2 linked regions of the Saccharomyces cerevisiae S288C genome follow. The protein of the gene in region 1 purifies or fractionates together with the protein of each later gene. This does not show direct contact. Each region holds a gene or a part of one and is shown on either strand. Other genes may lie near its edges.

Region 1 (3,832 bases):
GTTGAATGTTACTTAAGGTCCATGGCAGAAAAATTTCCGCAGGTCACCTTTATAAGATTGGATTGTTCTTCCACATCTGAATCAGTGAACCAATGCATTCGGTCATCAACGGCCGATTGCGACAACATTCTGCATTTAGCCATTGCTAGTGAAACAGCTGCCCAATTGCATAAGGCGTACATCATTGAACATTCGATAAATGATAAGCTAGGAAATACAACAAGATTTTTAGTATTGAAGAGAAGGGAGAACGCAGGCGACAATGAAGTAGAAGACACTGGATTACTACGGGTTAACCTACTCACCTTTACTACTCGTCAAGATGACCCTGGTTCTTTGGTAGATGTTTTGAACATACTAAAAATCCATTCACTCAACATGTGTTCTATAAACTCTAGACCATTCCATTTGGACGAACATGATAGAAACTGGCGATATTTATTTTTCATTGAATATTACACCGAGAAGAATACCCCAAAGAATAAAGAAAAATTCTATGAAGATATCAGCGACAAAAGTAAACAGTGGTGCCTGTGGGGTACATTCCCCAGAAATGAGAGATATTATCACAAATAATATGTTATATAGTCTTTTTATTTATGTATCCTAAAATCTCGTCAAAGCGCACTTTTATATGCTTAAACCTGGCAATGTGGAACTCTTGATGTTTGAATCGATGCCTGGGATTTCTTGACGCGGTTTCTTGTTGATGAATCCATTCATGTTTGGTAACGCATGTGGTTCAAGTGTAGCTGGTGGTGGCGGGGCCGCACCGAATTCACTCTTCTCTCTCACAGCATTGATGTCGTTATTGATGCCAAAAAACCATCCATTTATCTTCTTATTGTTATAAGTTGGATCATCATATGCATTAGGATCAATTGGCCTCGCTCTAGTCCAAAATCTTATGGTTCTATCCTTAGCTGCTGTGGCAAATATATGTCCTACTGGATTATATGATAACGAGGTGATACACTTATCATGGGCGTATGGAATAGTCAAAATAGGTTCGTTTAGATTTTGTAAAAGATCAAAATGCTTTAGCGAGCCGTCATAGCACGCCAGAGTGAACATAGATTCATTTATTGGGTGCCATTCTAGTGTCATATAATCCGTTTCATCTCTTACACACATTAGTTCCTTCATACTGTATCTAATGTCGAACACACGACACGATTTATCTTTTGAAATCGCCATTAATAGATTTCCCTTGGTGGGTTGAAATCGCGTCTTCAAGACAGTATGTTTGAACTTCAGAATTGATGATATGCAGTTTCCGGAACGCGGATCCCACAGTTTTACTAAATTGTCCTTAGATGCGGAGGCAATTAACCCCATCTCGGGATGCCAATCACAACTTTTCACGTCCCAGTGGTGCCCCGATAATACTCTTTCTTGTTTGCCATTGCTGAAGTTCCAAATCTTCAAGATATTATCATCTGAACAGGTAACAAATTTCGAGTCGTTACTACTGAATGCCATATCCCTAATACTTTCCGTGTGTGCAGCATCAATTTCTTTAACCATACTAAAGTTTGGTTGCCATATCTTAATCATTCCATCTGCGTCCCCACTAATCATCCAATCACTGTCGTGAGAATATTTCATTGTAGTCACAGCCGAATCATGTGCTTGCATGAGGGTTTCAAACGTAAACGAAGATGCGTTCCATAGAGAAAATTCTCCGCTATAAGTTGCTACTACAAGTCTTCTGCCTTCTGGGGTCCATTGGATGGCGGGTATCACATGTTTCACTTTATTCGAGCTTAAATGCGTAAATTTGCTGGGCAAATTTATGACTCGATCTCGACCTCTGTAGGCATTAGGCGGCATTATATCTATTGTGTATGAAGTTTCTGGCTCTACCACTAGGTTCGGTAATCCATGTCGTCTGTTGTAATATAGGTTAATATACGGAGAACTCACGTCTACCGATCGTCTCTGTGTCACATATTTCTTCAGAGGTGGTTGTTGTGACTGCTGAATTTGATTCTGATTCTGGTACTGGTTCTGATTATGCCCGTCCATAACGTGTCTATGTTGAGCTTCTTAATATCTACCCAGCAACCTGTATATCAGTGCTTTCTTTAATTATACTTCCCTTGACAAATCGATACGTCGGCCCTCAAAAGAAGAGGAAAAAAAATAGAAAAAAAAATAGAAAATAAAAATGTCAGTAATTCTAATGATGACACAAATTCAAATAGCAACATTGAATACTGTTTAACAGAACAATTAACCACTTTTAATTAGAAATACTAACAAAGAATTTGTTAACGTATTCTTAGGAAGTAAAGTACTTCAATTATTGCTAGAAATGACTGCTCAGATTCCGTATCAACATAGCTCGGGATACATCTCTCATTTTCACAATAATGAGCTTGATGCAGGCAGGGGAAGGGATTATAATGTAACCATTAAGTATCTAGATGATAAAGAAGAAAATATAGAAGGCCAAGCAGCAAAGATTAGTCACAATGCGAGTCTGCATATTCCCGTTTTATTGTGCTTGGTAATCTCGCTTGGTGGCTTTATTTTTGGATGGGACATTGGAACCATCGGTGGAATGACAAATATGGTTAGCTTTCAAGAAAAATTTGGCACAACTAATATTATCCATGACGATGAAACAATTTTTGTATCTACTAAGAAACTTACTGATCTGCAAATAGGCCTAATTATCAGTATTTTTAACATCAGTTGTGGCGTAGGGGCTTTAACTCTGTCAAAAATCGGTGATTGGATTGGTAGGAAAGGTGGTATATGGTTTGCCTTAGTAGTGTACTGCATCGGTATAACCATTCAAATTCTCTCCTATGGAAGGTGGTATTTTTTGACATTGGGAAGAGCCGTAACGGGAATCGGTGTGGGAGTAACCACTGTCTTGGTGCCAATGTTTCTCTCCGAGAATTCTCCACTAAAAATCAGAGGCTCCATGGTATCTACGTATCAATTGATTGTAACATTTGGCATACTAATGGGAAACATTTTAAATTTCATATGCGAAAGATGTTATAAAGATCCTACACAAAATATAGCCTGGCAATTGCCATTGTTCTTGGGATACATTTGGGCAATTATAATTGGAATGTCACTTGTTTACGTTCCTGAATCTCCACAGTACTTGGCAAAAATCAAAAATGATGTGCCCTCTGCTAAATACTCTTTTGCGAGGATGAATGGCATCCCTGCGACGGATAGCATGGTAATTGAATTCATCGATGATTTGCTGGAAAATAACTATAATAATGAGGAAACTAACAACGAATCAAAAAAGCAAAGCTTAGTTAAAAGAAACACATTTGAATTTATTATGGGAAAGCCAAAGTTATGGTTGAGACTGATTATTGGTATGATGATAATGGCATTTCAACAGCTGTCCGGAATAAATTATTTCTTTTATTACGGAACGTCTGTTTTCAAAGGTGTCGGGATTAAGGATCCTTATATTACTTCAATCATACTGTCAAGTGTTAACTTCCTTTCTACGATATTAGGCATATATTACGTGGAGAAATGGGGCCACAAGACATGTTTATTATATGGTTCAACAAATTTATTATTTTATATGATGACATATGCTACTGTGGGGACATTTGGAAGAGAAACGGACTTCTCAAATATTGTTTTAATTATCGTGACTTGTTGTTTTATTTTTTGGTTTGCAATAACATTGGGCCCAGTTACATTTGTACTAGTGTCCGAATTGTTCCCTCTAAGAACGAGGGCCATATCAATGGCTATTTGCACATTTATCAATTGGATGTTCAATTTCTTAATATCACTTTTAACACCAATGATTGTATCCAAAATTGATTTCAAACTAGGATAC
Region 2 (4,001 bases), on another chromosome or scaffold:
GCTTCCACCACTTAGTATGATTCATATTTTATATAATATATAAGATAAGTAACATTCCGTGAATTAATCTGATAAACTGTTTTGACAACTGGTTACTTCCCTAAGACTGTTTATATTAGGATTGTCAAGACACTCCGGTATTACTCGAGCCCGTAATACAACAGTTCTCCATTGAAAAGTCGCCATCTTAGTATAGTGGTTAGTACACATCGTTGTGGCCGATGAAACCCTGGTTCGATTCTAGGAGATGGCATTTTCTTTTTTACCTGTCTTATTTTAGACAGGTTGACGTGATTGACTAAATGATTTGGCCAACTTGTTTATAAAAGGGTTCAAAGCCAAAGGAAGACGTGACCATTCTTAACAGTGCAACGAAAGACAGCCTCAATATAGAGTTAGACAAAATAATAATATAGTAATTTAACATAGTTTAATATAAAAATAAGTAAAAAAATAATAATACTAATAATAATAGTAATGATAATAGTAATAAAAGAAAATAAAGAAAAATTGCATTTCGTTAATAATAATAGTGTAGACTTATCATTTTTCCACTAATTCAAATCCTTCACATCTTATTATTATCTCCTTTTTTTTATATTTTTTTTATGTTTCTTATGCTTTTTCGCGGTTTGTTGCACTAAAGGGAATTATTTGTGTATATGACGAGTGATGATTGCATCTTCCTTTGTTTTCTTGATGTTTCTTTCGTATTCTTCGCTTAAAGAATTGACTAAAAGTTTTCTACGTTTATGTTTCTTGTATTTTTCTTCTACTACTCTTCTTGTTAATAAGTATTTTCCTTTTTAAACTTTGATTTAGGACGTGAATCTATTTATTTTTTCTTTCTACCCCCAGCTTGCCTTGGTAGACTTTTTTGGGCTGGCTTTAAAATTTGAAAAGAACATAATAAACTTTCATCAACACTCATCATTGCACCAGCGTTATCAAATTCACCACAATAATTCGGAGCACTGAAAAGTGTCACCAATTGTCTTTTACTAAAGAATTCATAACCATCTTCCACAACTTGATGGGCCCTGCAAATCAACTCCATATCTTGTTTCTGTAAAAATCTGTTCACTACATCAGGACCAAAAGTGAAAGAAACACCTCTATCATTTTCACTCCAACCTACGATATCTTTATCTGGATCTGACCACAATAAGTCACATAATAAGCCAACGTCGGGAATATCTGTTGGCCTCATCACCCTTCTGATCTGTTCCATACTATTCAAATCTGGTGAGAGACCACCATGCATACAGAAGATTTTCTCATCAATAATTGCAGCAATTGGTAAACAATTGAAACAATCCGTGAAAGTTTTCCAAAGTTTGATATTATAACGTCTCTTACATTCATCATAAAACCCGTAAATTCTATTAATGGAAGCACATTCATGGTTCCCTCTTAAAATGAAAAAGTTTTCTGGATACTTAATTTTGTAAGCCAGTAATAGACAAATAGTCTCTAAGGATTGTTTACCACGGTCGACATAATCACCCAAAAATAGATAATTAGATTCTGGCGGGAATCCACCGTACTCAAATAGACGTAGTAAATCATAGTATTGCCCATGAATGTCACCACATATCTAAAAAAAAAAAAAATAGAAAAAAATAAGTTAGTAAATGAATTTGTCACTAAATCTAGCTCATTCCGTTGACTTTAAGAGAACAATTACTGCTGTCAAAAACGCTTCATTTCTCCCAATGCCTTCTGCAAATCCACATTTCTTGGTTTTCGTCCGACCTTTCTCTCGGGCTCAAAAAAAAAAAAGATTCGTTTTCTTCATAACGAAAAAATGCCTTCTTTTTTTAGTGTGAGCAAGGGGGATTTTTCTGAATATGGGAGGCGCCGGCCGGATGATGATACAAAACATAAGGAAATCTTGGTAAAAAAATGCCTAATAAGATAGAAAAATGAAGAGCTAAACACACACATTATCTCGGCTATCTCGACATATGAGTAGGCTAACATCAGATGCTTGGTAAATTCTTTCAGTCAAACGGAAATAACTGCTGTAACTATCTTACTGCCGCAACAGGAGTAGAACACATAAAACACCTGAAGCTCTAGGCATTCTATCTCTTGACTGCGAAGTTCAACATTAACATACTTTAATTGGGGCTTCTAACTCTAGTAAAATGGGTTGCTTTATGAATATAGATCTGGCTTTCGAACATAAGTATCTGATTTCATTTTCTTCTAGATCAACTTGTTGACCAGGTTTAGATCCTCTTACTTCCAATAATCTATCGATGATATTATCAACGTCAACTGGTTGTGAGTCCATTTCTTTAATTTGAATGTATATTGTGGTAATCTGCTTTCCTCTCCCCAGTTACTCGTTCGTTCACCTCTTATTTTTTTTTTCAGTTGTGGTGTTAACTTGTGTTACGTTGTTTTTTTCTTCTTCTTTTCTACTTTTGATTTTTTTTTCCCTCTCTTGTTCCTTGAAACGAACGCTAAAAGAAAAAACAGCAAGAGCAAGAAAAAAAATGGGGGAAGAGCGAATAAGCAATGATTGTTATCTACATAAGGGGTAATTTGGCTAGTTTCTAACTGTCATCCCCATGCAGCCTGTCAAAGACTGATATATGCAGTCAAGAAATAAAAAACAAATTGCAATAAGCTCTCCACTATAGATGGCACAAAAACAGGTTAATAACAAGTAGTTATTACATTCCTCAACGAGATGAGCCAACAAGCAACCAATAGTGCACCTACTTGTCTAACTTTAATTGAGGTTGTGCTCACAAGAAATGTTTTGCCAGGTATCTACCTCAATTGAATAACAACCGCAAAAGCTTTAGTACTAAATTGTCTCTCACCTTGTCTTCAAGAAAAGGGGAAGGTAGATGAGAGAGAAGTCTTGCAATTTTTCTCAACCTTTCAACTCGAATGGAAATCAGGTTGTAAGGGAAGCAATGAAATGTCAGCAAACAGCCACTGACTGTAATTCTTTTGTTGGAGTAAAAATCAACTATCATCTACTAACTAGTATTTACGTTACTAGTATATTATCATATACGGTGTTAGAAGATGACGCAAATGATGAGAAATAGTCATCTAAATTAGTGGAAGCTGAAACGCAAGGATTGATAATGTAATAGGATCAATGAATATTAACATATAAAATGATGATAATAATATTTATAGAATTGTGTAGAATTGCAGATTCCCTTTTATGGATTCCTAAATCCTCGAGGAGAACTTCTAGTACTTTCTACATACCTAATATTATTGCCTTATTAAAAATGGAATCCCAACAATTATCTCAAAATTCACCCACTCTTCATCTTTGAAAAGATAATGTATGATTATGCTTTCACTCATATTTATACAGAAACTTGATGTTTTCTTTCGAGTATATACAAGGTGATTACATGTACGTTTGAAGTACAACTCTAGATTTTGTAGTGCCCTCTTGGGCTAGCGGTAAAGGTGCGCATTTTTTCACACCCTACAATGTTCTGTTCAAAAGATTTTGGTCAAACGCTGTAGAAGTGAAAGTTGGTGCGCATGTTTCGGCGTTCGAAACTTCTCCGCAGTGAAAGATAAATGATCTACTATGATGAATGACATTAGCGTGAACAATCTCTGATACAAAATCGAAAGATTTTAGGATTAGAAAAACTTATGTTGCCTTCCTTCTGAAATTTATTTTTTGTCACTATTGTTATGTAAAATGCCACCTCTGACAGTATGGAACGCAAACTTCTGTCTAGTGGATAACAGAATTTTTCTATGGCCAATTTATTCTTTTTTTTTTCCCTTTTCTTAATGTGCGTATCATTGCCGGGTTTGAAATTTCGAAATTAACTACTAAAAATTACCGCTTTAATGTATGGAATATGTGTATCTTGCTAGTTTTGCGTTGCCCTCGCGATATCCCTATACGCCCACAGTGCAAACACAGTAGAGCTTTGTGATAATACTCGCAAGGAATACAGTACATCAAAAACTTATTACACAGGCTTTCCAGTGCACTCACA

What was found.
Region 2: the proteins of PFS2 (region 1) and GLC7 purify together in Saccharomyces cerevisiae (affinity purification with mass spectrometry; 5 studies listed by BioGRID). This does not show direct contact.

What each region holds. Positions count from the first base shown.
Region 1 is NC_001146.8:38,815-42,646, reverse strand, and holds PFS2 (cleavage polyadenylation factor subunit PFS2), read right to left. Parts: upstream 2,029-3,832; coding exon 631-2,028; downstream 1-630. Other genes in the region: prephenate dehydratase PHA2, read left to right, coding at 1-576; HXT14 (Hxt14p), read left to right, coding at 2,318-3,832. UniProt on the Saccharomyces cerevisiae protein: Integral and essential component of the cleavage and polyadenylation factor (CPF) complex, which plays a key role in polyadenylation-dependent pre-mRNA 3'-end formation and cooperates with cleavage factors including the CFIA complex and NAB4/CFIB.
Region 2 is NC_001137.3:430,793-434,793, reverse strand, and holds GLC7 (type 1 serine/threonine-protein phosphatase catalytic subunit GLC7), read right to left. Parts: upstream 2,300-4,001; coding exon 2,123-2,299; intron 1,598-2,122; coding exon 836-1,597; downstream 1-835.